Linked DNA regions of Tamandua tetradactyla. The protein of the gene in region 1 purifies or fractionates together with the protein of each later gene. This does not show direct contact. Links are inferred from orthologs where the notes say so. Each region holds a gene or a part of one and is shown on either strand. Other genes may lie near its edges. The genes, in order: HNF1A and PCBD2.

Region 1 (10,727 bases):
CTAACCCCCAAAAAAAGCGAATAAAATAAATATAAAGCACTTACACAGGGCTTGACACATAGTAGGTGTTAAAAAAATGCAAGCTATTTTTATTAGGGTGAAAACTCACAGTTAAATGCCTGCTTGCTATATATACACATACCTGGTTGCTATATATACACCCTCATATTGAAAAAAATTTATTCTGGTAACATATGTACGATACAAAATTTCCCATTGAAATCACCTTCATGTGTGCAATTCTGTGGTATTAATGACATTCCTAATATGGCACCATGATCCCCACTACCCATTACCAAAGCATTTGCATCACCCCAAACAGAAACTCTGCACCCATTAAGCAACGATTCCCCATTCCCATCCCCCCGCCCCCCCCAACTTGTTATCAGCTTCGTGTTTTCTATGGATTTTGTTATTCTAGGTATTTCACAAAAGCAAAATCATACAATAGCTGTCCTTTTGTGCCTGGTTCATTTCACCCAAAACAATGTCTTCAGGCTTCATCCATGTATTACAGCTTCCGAGTAGGGCTTGTCACTGCGCGCCCCGCAATCCCCAGAGGACCAGACGCCGCCTCTGAACCAGAACGAGCTCGCCGCCACGCAGGGGCAGCCAGGGCTCAGACCCCAAGAGACCCCGAGACCCCCTGATCTTCAGGTTCTAGGTGTAACAGATGGAAACCAAATGGCAAGGTACGGGGGAGGTCCCCCCCTCACCATCCTGCAGGAGCCCTGGCACCACAGCAGGGCAAGCAGCCTTCTCCCCCGCAGTAGGGAAATGTCAGGGAACTGGACAACTTCTGAACTCTGGAGGACGAGCGTGGGAGCAGGGGAGCCGCGACAAGGAAAACCAGCACTTCCCCTTGGTAGAGAACGAGGCCCTGCTTGGCCCCAGCCCTGGTTTCCCGGGATCTTGTGATGTTTTCTGTCCTCTCAACCTTTCCTTTCCTGGGGGGATTGAGGAAAGGCTGTTTTCTTGGACTCCCCCTAAAGTATCAACTCTCCCTGAACTATCTGAGAGCTTGATTGGGCTTCCTTCGTGTCTAGTATGTTTCTTGCATATCAGAGGAAGTGGTTTGAAAACAAAATGAAATTAAATAGAAACAACACCCAGGTGTGAGTTGGGTCCCACATTATCCCTACTTTAAGATGGGGAGACAGAGGCTCCACGCAGTTACGGCACTTGTACAAGGTGCCACAACTAGCACCTGGTGAAACGTGCAACAATTTGTTCTGCTAACAGTGGTCTCAACTAGCCCTAGGATGGAAGTATGGAGCCCCAGCTAAGGGATCAATTTGCTCAGTTCCATCAGTGCCCTTGTATCTTAGGCTGTCTGTTTTGGGCTTTGGCTAGTTGGAACCAGGTTATTTGCCTTCACTTGTAAACACCTTGAGACAGCCAAGAGGCTGTTTCAAACAGAGCTTTGGAAACTTACTTGACCACAAGAATTGCCTGAGGATCTTGTTCAAAAGAAAGGTTCTTTGGCATTCCCTCTGGAAAGTCTGGTGCAGGAACAGTAGGGGTGGGGCTTTGGAATCTGAATTTTTTTAGCCCACGACTCTGGGAATTCTTAGGGAAGGGCAGGGTTGGAAACTTTTGCAGTGAGGAAGCAGAGAGCCCTCTGCTGTTAAAGAAGGGGATGACAATGAAACAAACGCAGCTCAGCTCTCATTCTTTCCTTCCCATGGGGCTTTTTTTCCTTTCTGAGCCTCAGTTTCCTCCTGTAAATGGGAATGAAAGTACCTACCTCGTGAGACTGTTGCGATGAGTTAAATTAGATCATGCAGAAATTTTATATGATACTGTAAGGGTGGGCACACGACATCACACATTTGTCAAAACCCATAGAGCTGTGCAACACAAAGAATGAACCCTAATGTCAACTAGGGACTTTAGTTGCTAATAATGTGTCCATATTGGTTCATCAACTGTAACACATGTACCACACTAATGCAAGACAGGAGAAAACTGAGCGGGGGCTGTACTTTCTGCACAATTTTTCTATAAACCTAAAAAAAGTTGCTCTAAAAAATAAATCCTGTTTAAAAATATTGCCCAATAAAGATTAAGTGGTGGAAATTGGGGCAGAGGGGAGAATCATCGAGTTGAAATACAGGTGGGTCCTGTCGCATGGTCTGGATTAAAATCAACAGCCGGGGTGGGTGCTGGGGGGGGGTGGGCAGTGCAGTCGAAAGGGCACCGCTCTTACTCTGGCTTTTAAGGCAAAGGAGAAGCCTTGTGTCCTGCCTGGACCTCAAAAAATTTTCAGACTTGCAGACAGCTACTCACCAAGTAGGAGAGGATCGTGAAAAAGTGCCCAGCTACCGTTTATTGAATATCTGCTATGTCCAGGGGACAACCATTAGACCTACGGTTCTCAAATTGTGCAGTGAAGTGGCTCAGGGCCACAGACCATTTTAGAGGATTTTTCATGGAAACACAGCGGCATCTGTTGGACGCTTTGCAAACTGCTAGCTCAAGGTGGAACACGATTTCGTGGTTCGCTGAAGATGCACTCCTTCCAACGATGTCATAGCGGTGTGAAGCTGGGCTTCTGGCAATTGCTGTGATTAAAAAGCAAGCATTGAGTGGTGCAATGGTGGCTCAGTGGCAGAGTTCTCGCCTGCCAAGCCAAAGATCCAGGTTCGATCCCCAGAGCATGCCCATGTCAAAAGAAAAAAAAAAAGCAAGTATCCTTTATGGACAAATGAGTAAAAAATAATATTAAGGAGAAAAAAAATGAATAAATAATGGGGGAGATAAAGGGTGAAAATTGGATAGATTAAAATACTGTGGGTTAATGAGAGGGAGGGGTAAGGGGTATGGGTTGTATGAGTTCTTTTTCTTCTTTCTATTTCTTTTTCTGGAGTGATGCAAGCATTCTAAAAATGATCATGGTGAAGAATACACAGCCATGTGATGATGTGGTGAGGCAATGATTGTATAATATGATTGGACTGCATGTGTATGGATATTTCTCAATAAAAAATATATTTTTAAAAAGAGCAAGTATCTTGCAAAAATCATTGTGGAACAGGAAATGAGGGTGTAGTGTCCAATCTGATTCCAAGGTTCGAAAATCTTCGCAGAGCCCCGAAGACAGATGTATCTTGTTGGTATGTTCTATTTTTGTTTGTTTGTTTTCCTGTTGGTAGGTTCTTAAGGTTATTTAAGAATGAATTAAAAATATTTTCTTTCAATGTATATGCCTTCTTTATTGTTTTCTCAAGTGACCACTAAATTGTTAGGGCATATATATTTATTGTTTTGACCTAACCGCTTACTAAACATGACTGTTGGTTTTTTAGTGGGGGGAAGAGGGCTAGAGATGTCGCGGAAATGTTGAGACACTAAGGGTGTCTTGAACCAAGAAAGTCTGGGATCCTTTCATTATACTCTTTATAGAAACTGTCTTAACAGCAACTCTACGAGATCCATATCTTTATTTTGTGGGAGAGGGAAGCCACCCAGCTGGGCAAGGTTGCTGGTGGGTATGCACAGTGAAATTTAAGCCAGGCCCTGCAAATTCTCAGGAAGGCAAACCGCCTCCCCCCACACTGAGTTAATTCCACTTTGCCCAGTGAGGGTGGGGAGGGCGGGCTTAGGTGACTGACAGGCCTTTTTATCCATCAGAGTGACTCTTCCCCCACCCCCCCACCCCCACCAGGGGAGGCCCCAGGAGGCTCTCCCCTCCCCCCACCCCGCCATCCCTTCTCCAACCAAGTTTACTTTCAGTCGCAGTCACCAGTCCAGCTGCCTGGCCTCCAGTACAACATGAGTTCAAAAGTTGTGCCAAACATCCAGCACCCCCCCTCCTCCCTTGCTCCTTCTCGGGTCCCTGTTCTAGGTGAAAAGTCACCGACTGCCAGCAGCAAGTTCCCTCCCTGCCGAGGGGAATAAGCCAGGACCGGGAAGCCAGGAAGGGACACTGATGGAGTGTGGCTTAGGATCCAGGACAGAATTCCTGGACTTGAGAATTCAAGCAGGAGGCTGCCCAGTCCCTGAGCAGCTTGCCACCAGTCGCACAGCTGGTGTCAACCTCTGTGGCCAGCCTGGGTTTAAAACCTGGCGGGGGGGGGGGGGCGGTTTCGGAGCAAGCCGTTTCCCTTCTCTGAGCGGGTTTCCTCCCCTGCAGCATGGGGATAATTACAGCTTCATAGAGTTGTTCTGAGAATCACATGCGTGGCTAAAGCTTAGCACAGAGCTAAGTAGACATCGTCAGTGCATAATGAACCTTACCCACTCAGTCATTCATTCAGTACATTTATTGAGCACCTACTATGCACTATTCCAGACGCTGGGGATACAGCAGTGAATTAGACAGACAAAAGCCCTGCTCTCACGGGGCTCACAGGCTGGCAGAGAGGGGTCCATAAATAATCAACATCATATGTGAGTCAATCAGACAGCGGGCCCGTCCAACAGAAATATAATGCAAGTCACATTTATGCCATTTTAAATGCTCCAGTAGCACCGTTAAAAAAGTTAAGAGAAACAGGTGAAAATACGTATTTTTTTTAATTTAAAAAGTTTTTAGGTTAAACCTTTTAAATGTTTTCTTATTTTTAAATTTAATTTTAAAAAACCTAACATAATATATCTCAAATGGCATCATCTTAAGGGCCGTAAGCCACAGTGCACGTCCTCATTAGCTACACCCAGTGTGAAGTATCTTGGACAATGATGAGAACTGTGCAAAAATGAAGAAGTAAAGCGAGTAAGGGGCTGGAGCGCAGGCTCTGTGGGGGTGGGGTGGGGTGGCGAACAGACAGAGAAGGTGGATTTGCTCTGACTTGGGGGCAGAGCTTCGGATTTTACCCATCGTTGGCCAGGCCCCTTTCCTCTGCTGGCCTGGCCCACATGGCAGGTGCCCAGGCTGATGGCTCCTTCTCTTCCTTCTTGGCCAAACCTGACCCTGACTCTGCAAACTCCCGCAAGATACTCAAGGGCTCTCTGGAAATGCCCCAGCTTGGGGAGGGGGGGTGGGGATGGCCCCTCAGCACCACCCAGCCTCCTCGGGGAAAGAGTGTGCCTCCCTCCCGGGAGACGTCGAATGCTGTGAAAGCTGTGGCTAAACAAGGGAAGGGGTGCGTGGCGGGGAGGCTCTCACCCAGGGCTGGGCTCAGGGAGAGCCGAGGGAGGCAGGCCGTGGAAGTGCAGGGCTGGACCCTGGCCTAATTTAATTTCTTGACATTTGTTCATCATGGACTTTTCTGCATTCAGGTAAAAAATATGTTTTATTGATGTATCTATCATTCATGCCCCGTAAAATTCATCCTTCGGAAGTGTATAGTTCAGTGGTTTTAGAGGATTGAAGGTTGCACAACCATCACCACAATCAATCTGAGAACATTCCCATCATCCTAAAAGAAAGCCCGTTAACAGCTGCTCCATCTAAGCCCCTTCTCCCCATCCTCCCCCCAAAGCTCCCTGGCAGTCACTATTCTACTTTCCATCTTTTTAGATTTGCCTCTTCTGGACATTTCATATAAAATGAAATCATAAACAGTGTGGCCTTCAGGGACTGGCTTCCTCCACTTAGCGTAATGTTTCTAGGTTCGTCCATACTGTAGCACGGACCGGTACTTTATTCGTTTTATAATTTCCCCATTCATCAGGTAATGGACATCTGAGTTGCTTCCTCCTATTAGGAATAATTCTGCTCTGAATTTTATATACAAGTTCTTGTGTGGACAAGTTCTTCATTCTCTTGGACTTTGCATTCCTTTTAAGTTTTTAAGACATTGCATCACAGTATTAATGTGGGGTACTGAATTTTTTGGTGCCCCCTTAAATTTTGTGCCTCTGTCTCCTTACAGAGTCCCGGCCCTGCAAGCCTCTTCCCTCGGAGGCTGTGTGACTTTGGGCAAATCGCTTCACGTCTCGGAGCCTCAGTTTCCTTCTCTCTAAAACGGGGGTAATCCCTACAGCTTCCCACAGTGTCAGGTAGAAACAATGAAGCAATCGGGCACCCCTCAGACCCAGCAGCCTTCCTCAAACACAGTAGACTGAAGTCAACACGTTTTCCCTATGGGGAGGTCTGGTTGTTGAGCCTGGGGGTGGTGGTGGGGGGAAGGGTGATCCCCCAAAATGAATGCGACTTACCCTGCCCTTGAGGGGAGCTGGCTCAGCTGCCCAGAACGCCTTTGCTGCTTTTTTCCCCCAAAAGGGGACGCGTGTTTATTATTATTATTTTTGCTCTCCTGCCTCAGTCTGACCCCCTGCAAGGTCCTAGGAGTGGGACCCAGCGCTGCTCACCCCAAGGCCTCCCTGGCTGCCAGTGCCCACGCATCCGGGGCGCCCTGGGGCCCTCCACCCTCTCCTCCCCCACCCCGCACTCCCGGGCTAGGCCGGGGCTCCCCGTCCGCCATGAGGCCTGCACTCCGCGCGCCGCAGGGCTGAAGTCCAAAGTTCAGGCCCTTCGCTAAGCACACGGATAAATATGAACCTTGGAGAATTTCCCCAGCTCCAATGTAAACAGAGCGGGCAGGGGCCCTGATTCACCGGCCGCCGGGGCCAGGGTTGGGGGTTGGGGGTGCCCACGGGGCTTGGCTCGCGGGCTTCTGGGGGTGCAGGGCGCCCGGTCTGCGCCCACCGGCCGGCGGGCGGGCGGCCGGCCCACACGTGACAGCGGAGCCATGGTGTCCACGCTGAGCCCGCTGCAGACCGAGCTCCTGGCCGCTCTGCTCGAGTCGGGCCTGAGCAAAGAGGCGCTGATCCAGGCGCTGGGGGAGCCGGGGCCCTACCTGCTGGCCGGAGGAGACGGCCCCCTGGACAAGGCGGAGGCCGGCAGCGGTGGCCGCGGGGAGCTGGCCGAGCTCCCCAATGGGCTGGGGGAGACGAGGGGCTCCGAGGACGAGACGGACGACGACGGGGAAGACTTCACGCCGCCCATCCTCAAGGAGCTGGAGAACCTCAGCCCCGAGGAGGCGGCCCACCAGAAGGCCGTGGTGGAGACCCTTCTGCAGTAAGGACCCCTCCCCTGCCCCCAGGTCCCAAGACGGAGCCCAGAGGGGCCCAGCCCCAGCTCTTGAGCAGCTGCTCTTCAGAGTTCCAGGTCCCTATGAGCTGCGGCCCTGAGCCTAGGTGTCAGGAAGGGGGACGGGGCCCACAGGGGCTCAGAGGGGTCCTTGCCTGGGGGAAGGAGACCCAGTCCCCGGGCAGCCCCTCTGCAGAGTCCTGTGCCTCCTTGAACCTGAGCCTTCAGCCCAGCACCTGGGAGGTGGAGACATGCTCCAGGGGAGCTCGGAAAAGGCGGAAATATCAGCAGAGCCCACAACCCCAATGCCTAGAGAGCCACAGGGTGGTAGAAATTTCTAGCCAGCATGGCCATTTCAATCCCCCAAACTCTAACTTCCCCGCCAAGGCCTCCAGGTATAGACTCAGGGCCCAAGAAGCGTGGCAGGGGAGAAGGGCTGAGGCTGGGGTTTGAGGGGCTTCCCTGGCCACCCTGGGACTCAAGACTTTCAGGCAGGGGAAGCCCAGGTCTGTCTTACCTGGGGAAGATGGAAACTTGGGTCAGGAGCTGCTCCCTTTCCTGCTCAGCCACAGGCCCCCCCACCCTGCCAGCAGGCGCCATTAGCAGCCTCCCGGTCCCGTACCCCTGTCCGCTGGCTGACTCCCCATCTCCTGGAGAACTGGGTGGGTCCTGTGCTCAATGCCTCCCCTCTCCTCAGCAGAGCTGACCTGGTTACTAATTACCCACGGGCTTTGTTATTTCTCTTTTGTTTTATAAATTTATAAATGGCAAAAGGCTCTGATAAGGCCTGTGATCATTAACTTGTAGGGACGGTGGCCTGCAGAAGCCTGAGCAAACCAAACCCCCACCTCCCAGAGGGGGTGGGGACGGGGGAGCGTGGGGTGGGGAGGCTCCATGACCTCCACCCTAACCCCCACCAGCATGCTGAGGGGTACGACCCCCCAGGTACTGTGCTGAGGCCTCCCATTCATAATCAACGTTGAGATCCCCCCCCCACCCAAGGAACTGTTATCCATTAGTATTAACCATCTAATAGTTGGTTATCTATTGATAATGCTGCGTCACAGATGGGTAAACTGAGGCTCAGCGAGTTGCTTGATTAAGGACGCCCAGGTGGGACTCCAAACCCCATACTCTCCGGTGCCCCGGATCTCTCTGACTAGGGGCCTGCGGTGCCTTGGGGGGGTCTGAGGGCCGGTCCCAAAGACTCTCTGCAAGGAAGCGTTTCTTTTCTGTCCAAGGTCCTGATCCTGGCTTGGGGTGGGGGAGGGCTGGTGGATCCTGGCCTTCCCGGTGACCTCACGTAAACCTCTGGGTCTGCCAGGACTCCCGAGGGCCCGGGAAGGGGACAGGAGAGCGGTCGGGGGGCCCCCGACTTGGCAGGAAGACGAGGGCAAAGGGCGCTCGCGCGGCAGGGAGGAGCACAGGCACAGGCCAGGCCAGGGCGAGGACAACCTGGGCAGGGTGGGGCTGGCCCAGACCCGCCGAGGGCCCCGGATGGGCGCGGGGGCAGGGGGTGCCAGGGGCCTTTCTTACCTGGCTAGGTGGGGCCTCTTGATCAGCAGCCCCTTTGGTGAGATGCCGGGGTGGGGGGGGAGGCTTGATCCACAGCTCTTGAGGAAGGAACAGAGGTCAAAGTGCTCCCTGGGGGCCAGTGGGGACCCGGGGCATTCCAGGAAGCCGAGGGAGACAGGGGAGGCGGGGAGGCCGAGAGAGGGCCCCGGGGAGACAGACAGAGAGGCCTGCAGAGGTAGCGCAGAGCCCAGGCCAAGGAGGGTGGAGGGACCCCAGGCCCGCTGGGGAGAGACTGCGGCACCCCAAGCTGAGAGGAGGCTAGAGTGCTTCCCCCGCCCACCCCGACTGGGTTTTCTTTAATGCTAACAGCAGGCTATTTACTTTCCATTTAAATTTGAGATGTTGCTATAAATTATCAACCAGCTCCTTGTTCCTGTGGAGTTTATAACTAACTACCTGGGTTACTTATTGTTCAGGTAACAAAAGGCAGCTGAAAACGCCCTGAGGGAAAAAAAGTGGGCCCTCTGGCCTCAGGGCAGGGGAAGAAGCCAGAGAGAAAGGTGGGGAACCTCGATGGACGCCGGGGTGTTGGGTGAGGTTGAAGCTGGACAAAGATGGTGCGGCGCAGGACTTTGAGTGGAAGCTGATTCTCTGGAGGGGACAAATGTCTGGGAGAAGGCAGGGGTGGGTGCCGGGTCCCAGAACTCCTTTGGGGTGCCCTGTGCCTAAGGTCACAGCAAGACCCTGAGTGCTTCCCTTAGTCTCCACTCTTAGTTCACTGCATGACCTTGAGCATGTCTCTTTCCCGCCTTCTGCCTCAGTTTCCCCACCTGGACAACAAATGAAATCCAAACTCCGTGCCTTGGTCCCCGCGCCAGCCTCCCTGGCCTCTTCCCTGACCTCTCTCTCCCTTAGTCATTTTGCTCCAGTCACATTGACATTGCTGTCCCTTGACATACCAAGCCGATGCCTGCCTCAGGGCCTTGGCACGTGCTGTCCCTCCTGCGTGGAGCCTACTTTCTGGATCTTACCATGGCAGATTCATTCTCCTTTCAGCTCAAATGTCCCCTCCTCAGAGAGGTGCCCCTTGACCATCCCATCCAAAGGTGGGCCCTACCCCTGTGACTCTCTCTCCTATTACCCTCATTTACTTTCCCCTGTCACAGATCACAGCCATGATTACCTTATGTGTCTGTTCTCTGTCTCCTGCTGTGATCGCAGAAGCTCTTCAAGCAGAAGGCCTGTGTTGCCTTGTTCACCACTCAGATGCCCTCTGCCCAGCCCAGTGGCTGACAAACAGCATGCTTGAGTGGGGGACAATGACTCTGAGACTCTATGGACATCTGCTGCCCCGTCGGCCAGGGTCCAGCCTGCATCCACCTCATACCCCAACCTTGAAGCTCTTGGATCCTCCCCATTGGGCATTGCCAAGTCTCATAGTAGGGCCTGAGCCCCAGGAACCCAGCGGCCAAGGTGGGACAAAGGATCTGATACCCCTGATTAAACTGGCTGGGCCTGGGTTCGGATCCCAGCTCTGTCCCTTTTGGCTTGGGCTGGTGATTTCATCCTTCTGAACCTCAGTTTACTCTGCAAGGCAGAAATGACAATAACACTTACTCACAGGATTCAAAAGCCTGATGTTCGTAGGGTACCTGCATCCTAAGTGCACTCAAAGGCAGCTCTTGTTAACGGAATGCATTTTTACAGATGAGCAAATTAAGGCTCAGAGAGGCAAAGTGACTTGCCCAAGGTAATCCTTACAAAGTGGTAATGCCGGGGGCTCGGACCCAGGTACTTCCACCCCATGCTCTTCCCGGGGCCCTTGAGGTTCCATGCCTCTCCTTGGTAACTTCACCTCCTTTTCCTCCCTCCCCGGTCGCTCCTCCTGTTTCACTTCGTCTCGTTCATTGCATCACAGACTCGCTTCCACGCAGAGCTTTAGAGCTCATGAAGGACTTGCAAATGCATTAACTCGTTGAATCCTCCCGCGAACCCTCTGAAATAGGAAATAATATTAGCCGCACAACACCGAGGAGGAAACTGAGGCACAGGACGTTAGGCAACTTTCTCAAGGCCACATGGAGAGTGAAGGGCAGAGCTGGATTCAAACCCAGGTCTACAGGAGCCCCTTGGGGTGAGGGGTCCTAACAGGCTGGTCTCCCAGTTCCATGAGCTTAGATGCACCGGAACCCCAGAGACCCGAGGGGAAAAGGCCCAAAGCCGTGGATGTGTG
Region 2 (10,913 bases), on another chromosome or scaffold:
GATTAAGGTAAATCAGAATACTGGGGTAAGGAAGAGATTTTATTTTAGAACTTTACCTCCTCTATGAGACCAAAGGAAGAGAGGTTTATTTTGTCCAAAACCTAAGTTTTCTGTAGTACATAATCTAACTCACCCTGCCTAGACAGATCATTTAAACCACCCAAACGCCTACCTATAGTTATGCCTAAGAGTTACTTCCAGAGGACCTCTTCTGTTGCTCAGATGTGGTTTCTCTCTCTCTCTAACCCCAACTCTGCAAGTAAAATCATTACCCTCCCCTCTATGTGGGACATGATATCCAGGGATGAAAGTCTACCTGGCAACATGGGATATGACTCCCAGGAATGAATCTGGCCCTGGCACTGTGGGATTGACAATGTCTTCCTGACCAAAAGAGGGAAAAGAATTGTAACAAAATAAACTATCAATGGCTGAGAGAGTTCAAATAGAGTCAAGAGGCCACTATGGGAGGCCACTTTTAGTGCAAGGTTCAGCTAGATACTGCTAATTACCACAGTTTGCCAAACCCCAACCAGAACCATTCTTGTATGAGAACCGAGGGCTCTCTCTGAGATTCTACAAAGGTTCCATGCACTATGATTACTTTCCAGAAACCTACAACCTCCAGATGGTTCCTAGGCTAGATAAGTCCTAAAACCCAGCGGGGCCATCCTCTCCAGAACATCAACTAGTTCTATCCCCCATTCCATTTTGACGACAGCCCCTTCCAACATGAAAAAGTTAGAATAGGCATAGCCCAAATACTCTTATAAGATTGGGAGACAGATCAGAGGAGAAGGTGGAGCTCTAACAGAGAAGATAGGACTGAACAAATGAGTATGACTGGTGATTCATTATATTTTCTTTTAGTCTCTAGTGTCTTGGAGTAGCTAGAAGGAAAAACCTAAAATTGTGAAACTGTAAACCTGAAACTCTGAAATCTATAACTAATTGTTGTGGTATGCTTTGAAATTTGCTTTTTTGTATATATGTTGTTTTTCACAATAAAACAATGAAAAATAAAAGTACATCTGCAGACGGATGGATTGAATGATATAGAAAATGTGGAAAATGTTAAAAGTGGTGGATCTGGGTATCCAAGTGTCTGTGTGGGTGTGTGTTGGAGTTCTCTGTATGGGTTTTGTATTATTTTGCAACTGTCCTATAAGTTTGAAATTATTTCAAAATAAAAAGTTAATCCCTCCCAAAAAAGAGGTAATTTTAATTATGATTGTAGATACCTTTAAAAAAGTTTGACTTTATTGAGATATAATTTGCATACCATATACTTTTCCTGTGCCTTTCTATGTACATTTTTCATTTACACTAATTACAGAAAAGCATGCATAGATCATTAGTGTATAGCATGATGAATTTTTACAAAGTGAACACCCAGGGTAATCAGCTCTCCCTCATTGCTATTCTGCTCACATTCCCTAGAGAAAACTACAATTTTGTCCCCTAATACCATAGACTGTAGTCTCTTTTTGAATTTTATGTTCATGGAGACATACAGTATATAACAGTCTTGTGTTTGGCCTATTCCTCTCAGCATTATGTTTGTGAGATTCATCTATATTGTTATGTATGCTTATGTGTTCATTTTTGTTGCTGTATAGTTCCATTTGTTAATCCATTTGTAAATGCTGTTGTAATTCCTTAAAATTTGCCAAAACAGATGGCCTTTTTTTTTTTTATGCTGTTCACAAAGTTTGAACAGATAAATTGAAGAAATTTCCTCAACTGGGAAAGTTCTCTTCTCAAAAGTTAAATATGAGCACTTTACTTCCTGATATATAAATTATATTCACTGGAAATATATATAAATTATAACATATCTTCCAAATATATTGAGTTGCATGAATTACTTATACCTAACACTACAGAACCAAGCACTCAACTGCTCAGAGTAAATAAAGGGCTTATGAGAACTTTAGAAATTCTAAGTCTGCTGGACCCCTGGTTGTCATTAGATTGACAGGGTAGACGGCACCATTTTGTTCCGTGCGCTAAGAAAACCAGCACACAGATGGGAACAGCAGTCACATCATCTTTGAGAATTTCTGATCCAAGTGGTGGTTAGTTGCTCTAACAATTCTTTCAGTAAATTCTTTAAAAGCATTTTGAATTTAGCATGACCTAACCTGTGAAAATGTTTTGTAGACTCCTGAGAATAGTTTTACTAGTTACTTGTTGAACTTTGGTCTCAAAAGAGAACAAAAAGCCCTTGTGATGCTTGGCTAAGAAACCTCTGATGAGTTCACAGAAATTCTAGTGTTTTAGCTTTGAACAGCTGAATGGATTCCTGTTCTTTTGATGTGGTGAGGAGAAAGGCAAGTTACAGATTATACCGACAGGCAATGAAATCCATCCCAGATATACTAGTGGTGATGTTTATTTTAAGATGCATATCATTTTGCATACCACGCATAATACTTCAGACAAATCAGCCCTGGGTGCTTTCTCTATCTGATTTCAACCACTTGATTTCTCTTTCAGGTATAGAAGCCAAGAAAAATGTGGTGGTAACTCAGGATGACCAAACAGGCCCTCTTCCTAGCACTTTGATCAAAAGTGTGGACTGGTTGCTTGTCTTTTCCTTATTCTTTTTAATTAGCTTTATTATGTATGCTACCATTCGAACTGAGAGCATTCGGTGGCTCATTCCAGGACAAGAGCAAGAACATGCGGAGTAGTCATGGCCTGAAAGAAGTTGGAAAGAGGAATTTCAGTTCATTTCAGAAATTATCGTGATTTCATGTATGTTCTTCAGTGAGGTGTTAACTTGCAGTTTCACTTAGCTTAAAAGAATTATGCATTTGTTCAACTACTGAATATGTAAAAAAAAATGTAAATGGTGTTTTAACTAGTATTATAATAAGCAAATACAGTATTCAATAGAATTCACCATTCTTGCTTTCACTACTTGAACATAATACAATACTTTAAGAGAGTAATTAGTTTAATATGTGAAAACGTATTCTGGTAGAATAGTAAGAGAACAATATGCTTACTATATAGAAGGCAGAAATCCGACTTTACATGTAGTTTCAGAAAACTCTAGCTTCCCTATATGTCTAAGAAGATTGGTTTTCTGTTCTTTTGCAATTTCTTTTAGAGTCCATAAGCAGGAATGTACTTAGTTAAGAGAAGAGTAATTGGAATGAATTAGTGTGAGCTCACAAGTGCAACTGCTACTTGCTGTCTTTGTTGATGGGGAAATAAAAGAGTCAAATACCTTGGTGAATATGTTCTCTAATTTTACTTAGATAATTTGAAGGGCTTACAAAGTGTGTGGACAAGGCAGATGACTAGAAGAAAGTGCTTTCATCATAATTAAAGCTATTTTATTGAGAGTTCCTTCCTATGCTAAAGTGTAACTTAAATTTTAGTCATGGTTAATCAACCAGCATTTGTTAGTTGAGCCCTAAAATGTTGTTAACATTGTGGTAGATTTGAGATCCAAAGGAAGTGTAAATACTGCCATTGCCTACAAGTTGATTCCAGTCTGGTTCAGGACACATTTAGTAAAGAGATGACATAATAATACATTGTTTATACAGACCTTCTGAAACACTATTTCTAAGCAATCCCTAAATATATAAAATAGCTGATTGCATACTAATAAATTATTTTAATACTAATTGTTTCCTGTGTTTTAGAGTAGCTGAATGTTCATTTTATAAGGCATCTTGATATTTTATCAAAATAGAACTTAAGATGAGTCCCTTTCTCAGTGTTATAACACATGGTTGCTTGCAACTTTATAGCTATGTGTCATATTGTGGATAGCTTTGGCTGGGATGGTGGGGGGACCATGCTCAGAATAGTACCAGTATCTCCATTTGCAAATGAGCAAACTGAGGCATAGAAAGATTAAATCACTTGCCAGGTTACAGATAGTCAGTTGATCAAGCTGAGCTGAGCTTCCATGTATATTTTTATCTGTTTTTTTTTTTCATGGGGAGGCACTGGGAATTAAACCTGGGTCTCCAGCATGGCAGGCAAGAACTCTGCCTGCTGAGCCACCATGGCCCACCCTCCATATATATTTTTAATTGCAAATATTGAAAAACAACATAGTGATTCTATCTTATAACTAACATTTGAGTATTACTGTGTACATACCAGGAACTATTTTAAGTTCTTTGCATATACTGTTTCATTTAATCTACACACCAGCCTTATGAGACTGACACTACTATTAAATATCTTCATTTTACACAAGAGTAAACAGGTCCTAAATAATTTGCTCCTGGGTCATGCAGTTTTCAGTGGTAGGAGCAAGTTTCAAAATTAGTCATTCTGACTCCAGAGCCTTTAGGCAGGATGGCACCCTGCCTGGCCTCTCTGTGCTGCAACCTGGGCAGCCATTGTATATATTTCCCTCCAGTCTTTTCCTGGGTGTTTCCTATAGCTGTAATCATAATGTACATATAATTTAATTTAGGACCTTGTTTTATCATTTTTTTCCCTTAACAAGTGGTAAATATTTTACTGTTGATAATAATATTCCTAACTGTAGCTACAAAACAGGCTTTGAGTAATTTCAGGATTACTTACCTAACCCATCTCCTTGTGCTGGATGTTATGGTTGTATATGGGTTCACTTCCTTGGGGGCAGATTCCCAGGGTGGGAATTTTCATATCTAAACTGGGGGTGGGGGAAGGCTCCCTGGATGACCAAGAGATCCATGGCTTTGCTTCTAACACTTGGCTGAGATTGGTTACATGTGGTTCTTCTGCAGACACGTGGAGCAAGGTGAGCCCCTGGAGAGGAGGTTTGGGTGTAGAGAGCCCGATGGAACACTAGGAGACACTGGTGTTGAGGGAAAGGAAAATGGGAGCTAAACTATTCCAAGTCAAGCATGGTGTCTATTATAGAGGACGCACTCAGTAAATCTTTGCTGAGATAGCTTACATCTTACTAACTGGAAAGCTGCATGTGAGGACAGAGCATACACAGCTCCTATTGGTGGCCAGCCCTTCCTCTGGCCCTAGCTGCAACTGCTGCTGCTTTCTTGACTAGGGCAGATGCCACAGCCTCATGCAGTGCTATCAAGGAATGAAAAGGATGCAAGTAAAACGTACAGAAAACAAGGGGTCACTAACTTGTTAACTCATACCTACCAATTCATTCTCCAGTTCTCACTTTAATGAGCAAAATTGTAGAGCATTTTCCACAATCATAAATACACACTGCAAATAGTGGAAACACAACTTTCAATCCTACCCCTTGTATCTTAGCCTCAGGCATCCCGCAGAAGAAACCAAGGCTACAACGGAATGAAGCTAAGCTGATGCATTTTAATGTCTTGGATAAATGCCCTGAGACCTGCAACATTTGGTCAAGGCCTCCAGTGTGATTCCTCCCCTCAGTTTTCCTCTTGAAATAGTTGTCTTGTCATGTGAACAAAAGGGAAGAAGGTGGGTCTGGTTAGAAGTCAATTTTGGGCTATTTCAAAGCAAAGTATTTTCTCAAAAATCAAGACTGCTAACAAATGCTAAGTTGTACAATGGACTTTGATCTTTTAAAATATATATTTTGAGTATATTGCTATCCTCCGCAAAGCCGCTTATATTAAGCTATTTAGTAAAAAAATAAATGATACAAGTGAATGTACTAAAAACCACTGAACTGTACACTTTGAAAGGGTAAAGTTTATGGTATGTGAATTATACCTCAAAATAAGGTAAAAATATTAATAAGACACACACACATAAAGGAAACAATACTCCCAAAAACGGTATGAGGAAAATTTTCCAGACCCGTCCATAGGTATCTGGAGAGCTCAGAGTGTGCTACACCAATGCCCATGTTGATACAGCTACTTTTTACAAAGCACTAGGTGTCAGCTTTTCCAGATTATCTTGTCTAGGTAAATACAGATGAGCCAGCTTGCCCAAGGACTTGCAGAAAAGAATGTCAGCGCAGGACGCAGCTTCGAACCCCCGGTTGCCCGACTTAGATTTGAACCAATACGGTCCGGCGTCTCCCGCGAATGCTGAATTAAAGACAACTGGAGAGACGGCACCTAAGCACCCGCAGCCCATCTCCGCCCGCTCGCCGCAGGCCCACGCGGGAGTCGGGGCCGGTCAGACCGTGTGCGAACCCGCGGCACTCCGAGGCCCGACGCCGCGGCAGGATTCCGGACCCCGAAGGACAGAAGCCGAGGCCAAGCCTAAGGACGAAAGGAAGCCCGCAGCGTCCCGCCAGACAGGAAAACCCGACACCTGGGCAGGGGTGACGCGAAGGCCAGCAGAGACGGGATGGGCAGGCCCGCAGCGTCACGTCGGCCCGGCTGCTCACAAAGCTGGCGACCACGGCCACTCCTGGGGCTTTCCGGGGTCTTGACCGCGCCTGGGCCTGCGCAGCGGCCTGTGCGGGGCGCCTCGGCCTGGGCTGGGAGCCGTCTGCACGGCCGCCGGCGCCGGCTCAGCCTCGCGGCTGGGCGTAGGCGGCGGGCGCCGAGGGAGCGCGGGCCGGCGGGCGTGCAGGCGGCGCGCGGGGCAGCCCTCGGCGCGAGGCCATGGCGGCGGCCCTGGGGGCGCTCGGGGCGACGCGGCGCCTCTTCCTCGCGCTGCGGGGCCGGGACTCGAGCCTCGCGGTCGTGGTGAGTCGTGGGTCCGCGTGTGCGGGAGGAGGGCGAGGCCCCCGCGGCGCCGGCGGAGGGGCAGCGGGGCCCGGGCAGGCCCGCGAGTCCGCCCGGCCTTCGGGCTCGGCCCAGAGCCACAGCCGGCGCGCTGGGCTGAGTGAAGCAACTTCCAGGTTTCCCACGGCTTCAGCATTCCGTCACAGCCTACGAAATGGCCAGCCGGAAAACAAATGGGAACGGGGTCTGTTTTTAAAAATTATGAGAGGACTTCATAAATATGAAAAGTATTGCAAGACATTTGATGGTCAGTGACGCTCACTGCGCGGCTGGGTCCTCTAGGGTGTGCGCTCCGTGGGGGCAGGACCGTCTCCGTCGCGGCCCGCCGTCAACGGGTTGATTGTTGAATGAACTAACTTGTTTTGGTGTTCATTTTTCGGAATAATTATTAATAAATTGTAGTTTCTGTGTGTGGCACATCGTTTTTTCTTGCCTCTTTCAAGGGGCGTTCGGTCCGTTTTCCTGCTTTGGAAATAATATTTTGTGACGTTAACTTGAGGGAAAACGTTAACGTGCAGCACCACCTAGAGGAGAGGTGTTGAATTAAACTCACCGTTTTATTTTCTTAAGTTGCTCATTTGACACTGCTTAGAATTTCTTTAATAGGAGAGATCTAGACTAGCTCGATGATAGAGGATGAGAAGCACCTTGTTGCCTATGCGTGGCTATTGGGGAGAGAACAGAAGTTGAGTCTTTATGGTCACCCAGGCTTGTCTCAACGTACACCCCTTTCCAAGGGGTTGGTGGTCAAGTACAGACATGGCGTTGGGATAAGAACTTACGAATTTGATTTGAGAGGCTGCCTGGTGTCGGATTCTAGACTGGGTGCCTTGACATGCAAAATGTCTTAAGTCTTTCAAAAGATATCGGCAGGTAGATATGGTAATATTCCTACTATAGAGATGAGGACCCTAGAATTCAGAGAGGGTAGGCGATTTATTCAGCATTCCACAGCTAAAAGTAAGAAAGCTGGGCCTTGAATCAAGTTACTCTTTCCAGATCCCATGTTCTTCTCAGTCTCTTCCCCACTTCCCCTAAAAAAGGAAACCCACCACAAAGGGATGGACCCTGAAGGGGGCTAGGAGTGTTAGGTGGATGAAGTGATTCCATTTTCCAGGCCTGGTCATGATCTCGGTTTCTGGGCAGACATCTGTTGTGAGCACAGAGTGCATGCCATTGCGCTCATCGACATGTGGATGGCTGAGCATGCAGAGAAAAGCAACTCAGGAAGCATTCTGTAGGCTCCAGGTGACTGCTGCTTTACGGCAGCATGCTTGATAGTTTTCTTTGTAGCTATTCAGTGTGGGCACAGATAATTCCATTTCTTTAGTGAACTATTCTGAGTTGATTTTAGATATTTGTATTGAATAAGAATTTTAGATTATTTCTTACAGTGGGTCTTTGTGTAAAATTGCTCAAAACTATCATTGTGAAACTAACAAATAGATCTTTTTATTTTTAAATTTGCAACATGCCTTTTAAAGAGGCTTTTACTTTTAAGTTTTTACTTTTGTTAGCTGTGGAAAAGAGCAGCTGATCTAACATGGAAGAAAGACTGAAAAACTGGTTTATTAGCATCCTTTTTACACCTCACAACAGAGGTGTACAACCGAGGTTTGTAAAAATCAGGTAGGAACAAGCTAGACAGAGCACATAAGTGCTTGGGCCTGGCAGCACTCTGGTCAAATTGTGGAGAGAGTTTGTCTTCTGTTGCTTTGAGAAAAGGGTTTCATAAATTCACTTCACAGACAAGGGCCTTTTGCCTTTGGTCCACAGGGTCTGTGAATCCCTAGAAGTTATAATACAAATTGTGTGTAAAAGTACATTTGTCCTGGCCTCCCCCCCACTACCTGAGGATTGCCCAGGACTCATCAGATTTGAAAAGGGGATAATGAGCCCAAACAGTTAAGACCCGTGTGCATAAGCAGTGAAACCTAGTATTGTATTGTGGGACCATCTAAAGAGCAGAAGCATAGGAGATTAGAACCCTGAGTTCTAATCCTGGTTTTGTCAGTGAGCTTGCAAGGTTTCCTCAGGCGTGTGTGTATGCACCAAGTTTCCAAGTCCTTGAGTGCTGCAATTCTGCAAATGTCTGAGATGACCAGTGGTAATGGGGAAATAGTCAGTCTTGGCTAGATCTGTAATAAACAGAGAAGCAGAATTGTGGAGTTTGAGGCAGCAGTAAGGGGAGGGAAGGAAACATACCATGGAGGTGGCTCATTTTGCACAGAGCTAGCCATGTGCTTGTCTGTCTTTTGAGAACAAAGGAGCCAACAATGGTGAGAATTTGTTGCCCTTGAAACTTTTCTCTGCATCTTTACATAAGGTAGAGAACTGTAAGTTCATTTGAGTTTAACTAAATCTTTACATTTTCAGATATTAAATGTATTCTCTTTACAGTCAGCGGGTGCTCACGGGTTGACAGCAGAAGAGAGGAACCAAGCTATACTTGATCTTAAAGCAGCAGGATGGTCGGAATTAAGTGAGAGAGATGCCATCTACAAAGAATTCTCATTCAAAAACTTTAATCAGGTAGATATTATAAATTCTTACTAATGCTATGGTCTGTTTTGTCACCTTAGGCTGTAATTAATTCTGAAACTGTTGGTTGTCTGGTCCCATGTGGATCCAGGATCCAAGATCCAAATTCTCCCTTCCTTAAGAATTCTCCTGGGCAGTTACTACAACTTACCTGGGTGATACTTAGCTCTGGGGGAAAGGTTTGGTTTGTGTCATTTGGAAAATAAAATTTTAAAGTCAGTATTGCTTTGATTTGGTGTTGGCTAGGGTATTTAGTTTCTTTGGAAATTTCAAAATACATTGGGAAAAAAAAAGGTATGAGCTTTTAGTGTTTATCAGAAGGGAGCGTGAGAGAAAATGATTGGCAACATACATTTGCCTGACTGATTCCCCCGACTTCCCTGGGTGGCTGGTAAATGTTCTTTCTTCCTGTAGATGTATTTCTATCTCTGAATCTTCACCCATGGTGCACCCCCTTCCTTGATTGACCCATTTTTCCCAAGCTCTATAGCCAGCCCTTGAAACTTTTCTTAAAACCTGACCTCCCCGCCCTGAGACTCCGTCTTGACAAAGTAACTGTTCTATCAGGGCCCCACCTAATGGAGTCATGCTTAGAGAGTCATCTCCCATGACTTGCCCTTCAGTTATTACTTCATTGCATTTATATAAGGTAAATGCTTTTGACTTTCATGTTTGTTCGGTTAGTTTAGCAATCCTTTGGACAGATTTATTGTTTTTATTTATATTAGATGTCAGCATCTAGAAATCAGAGAGCATGTTTGCTTAAGTAATTCTCTATGGTACCTAACACAGTTCTGGGTAAAAACATGCATTTGATAAATGCAGACTGTTTGCTAGTTTCTAAAAGGGTGTGTGAGCAACAGATTTCCACCAGAGAGAAACCTTCATGTTTTCCTAGTTAATGCCACTCACTTCACTGAGCTACATGTGCTATTCCAGCCATGTGGCTGCCAGCCTTCTGCTGTGAGTCCCCAACTCGTGCGGAAACCTGTACCAGACAGACAGACTGCCTGTCCCTGCTGCCCCACCTGCTCAACAGCTCTTGTTAGGGTCTTGGCATTCTGACTGGTGGCAGGGAATCCCATTGGTACAGTAAGCTTATGCATAAGCTCTTGGTAGCATTTTCTAAGCTTATTAAAATTCTTACATGTGTACAGCTTGACTTCTTTAAGCCTGGGCTAATTTATTGGGCTTGAACATGTGGCTTAAACTACTTGAGTTGTGTTGCCTCGGGCTTTGCCCATGAGTCAGTCCTCCAGAATCAATCCTTACACTTGGGGTGACTTTCAGATATGGAAGGAAAGGCAAAGGAAGCTGTGTAGGATATCCTTGATTAATTGTAAGGTTATTCACTGGGATATTTAATTAACTCATCTTTTTTTTTTTTTTTTTTACCCCTCACACAGCTTTTAGGAGAAAGGGGTAATGGCAAGAAAATCAATGATGTCAGGGAATTTATTCAGAGAACCAGCACAGAGATTCTATCCTGGGGCCGGTTTTCTAGCCAGTCTCCTATGACTGCTGTATGCACAATGACCCTGTAATGGCAACTGATATAATAGCAACTGTCATTGCCCTCCAGCCAAGGACCACTAGGAACATACGTATAGTTGAGCAGGCTGGGTGTATTACTCATGGCAGTGAGGGAGAACTTTCGTCATGGAGGATTTTGGGCCATTTCAAGAAGAAAGTGTTAGTAAAGACTTATTACAGGTTTTG

Evidence for each region.
Region 2: the proteins of HNF1A (region 1) and PCBD2 purify together in Homo sapiens (affinity purification with mass spectrometry; 4 studies listed by BioGRID and IntAct, with this or other methods). This does not show direct contact. The link is inferred for Tamandua tetradactyla from reciprocal best matches to the Homo sapiens genes HNF1A and PCBD2.

Annotation. Positions count from the first base shown.
Region 1 is NC_135331.1:21,253,601-21,264,327, forward strand, and holds the start of HNF1A (hepatocyte nuclear factor 1-alpha), read left to right. Parts: upstream 1-6,638; coding exon 6,639-6,967; intron 6,968-8,515; exon of another isoform or gene 8,516-8,870; intron 8,871-10,727. UniProt on the Homo sapiens protein: Transcriptional activator that regulates the tissue specific expression of multiple genes, especially in pancreatic islet cells and in liver. Binds to the inverted palindrome 5'-GTTAATNATTAAC-3'.
Region 2 is NC_135346.1:14,035,627-14,046,539, forward strand, and holds the start of PCBD2 (pterin-4-alpha-carbinolamine dehydratase 2), read left to right. Parts: upstream 1-6,510; 5' UTR 6,511-6,530; coding exon 6,531-6,614; intron 6,615-6,695; exon of another isoform or gene 6,696-6,873; coding exon of another isoform or gene 6,874-6,900; intron 6,901-9,053; coding exon 9,054-9,185; intron 9,186-10,913. Other genes in the region: TXNDC15 (thioredoxin domain-containing protein 15), read left to right, coding at 2,500-2,696.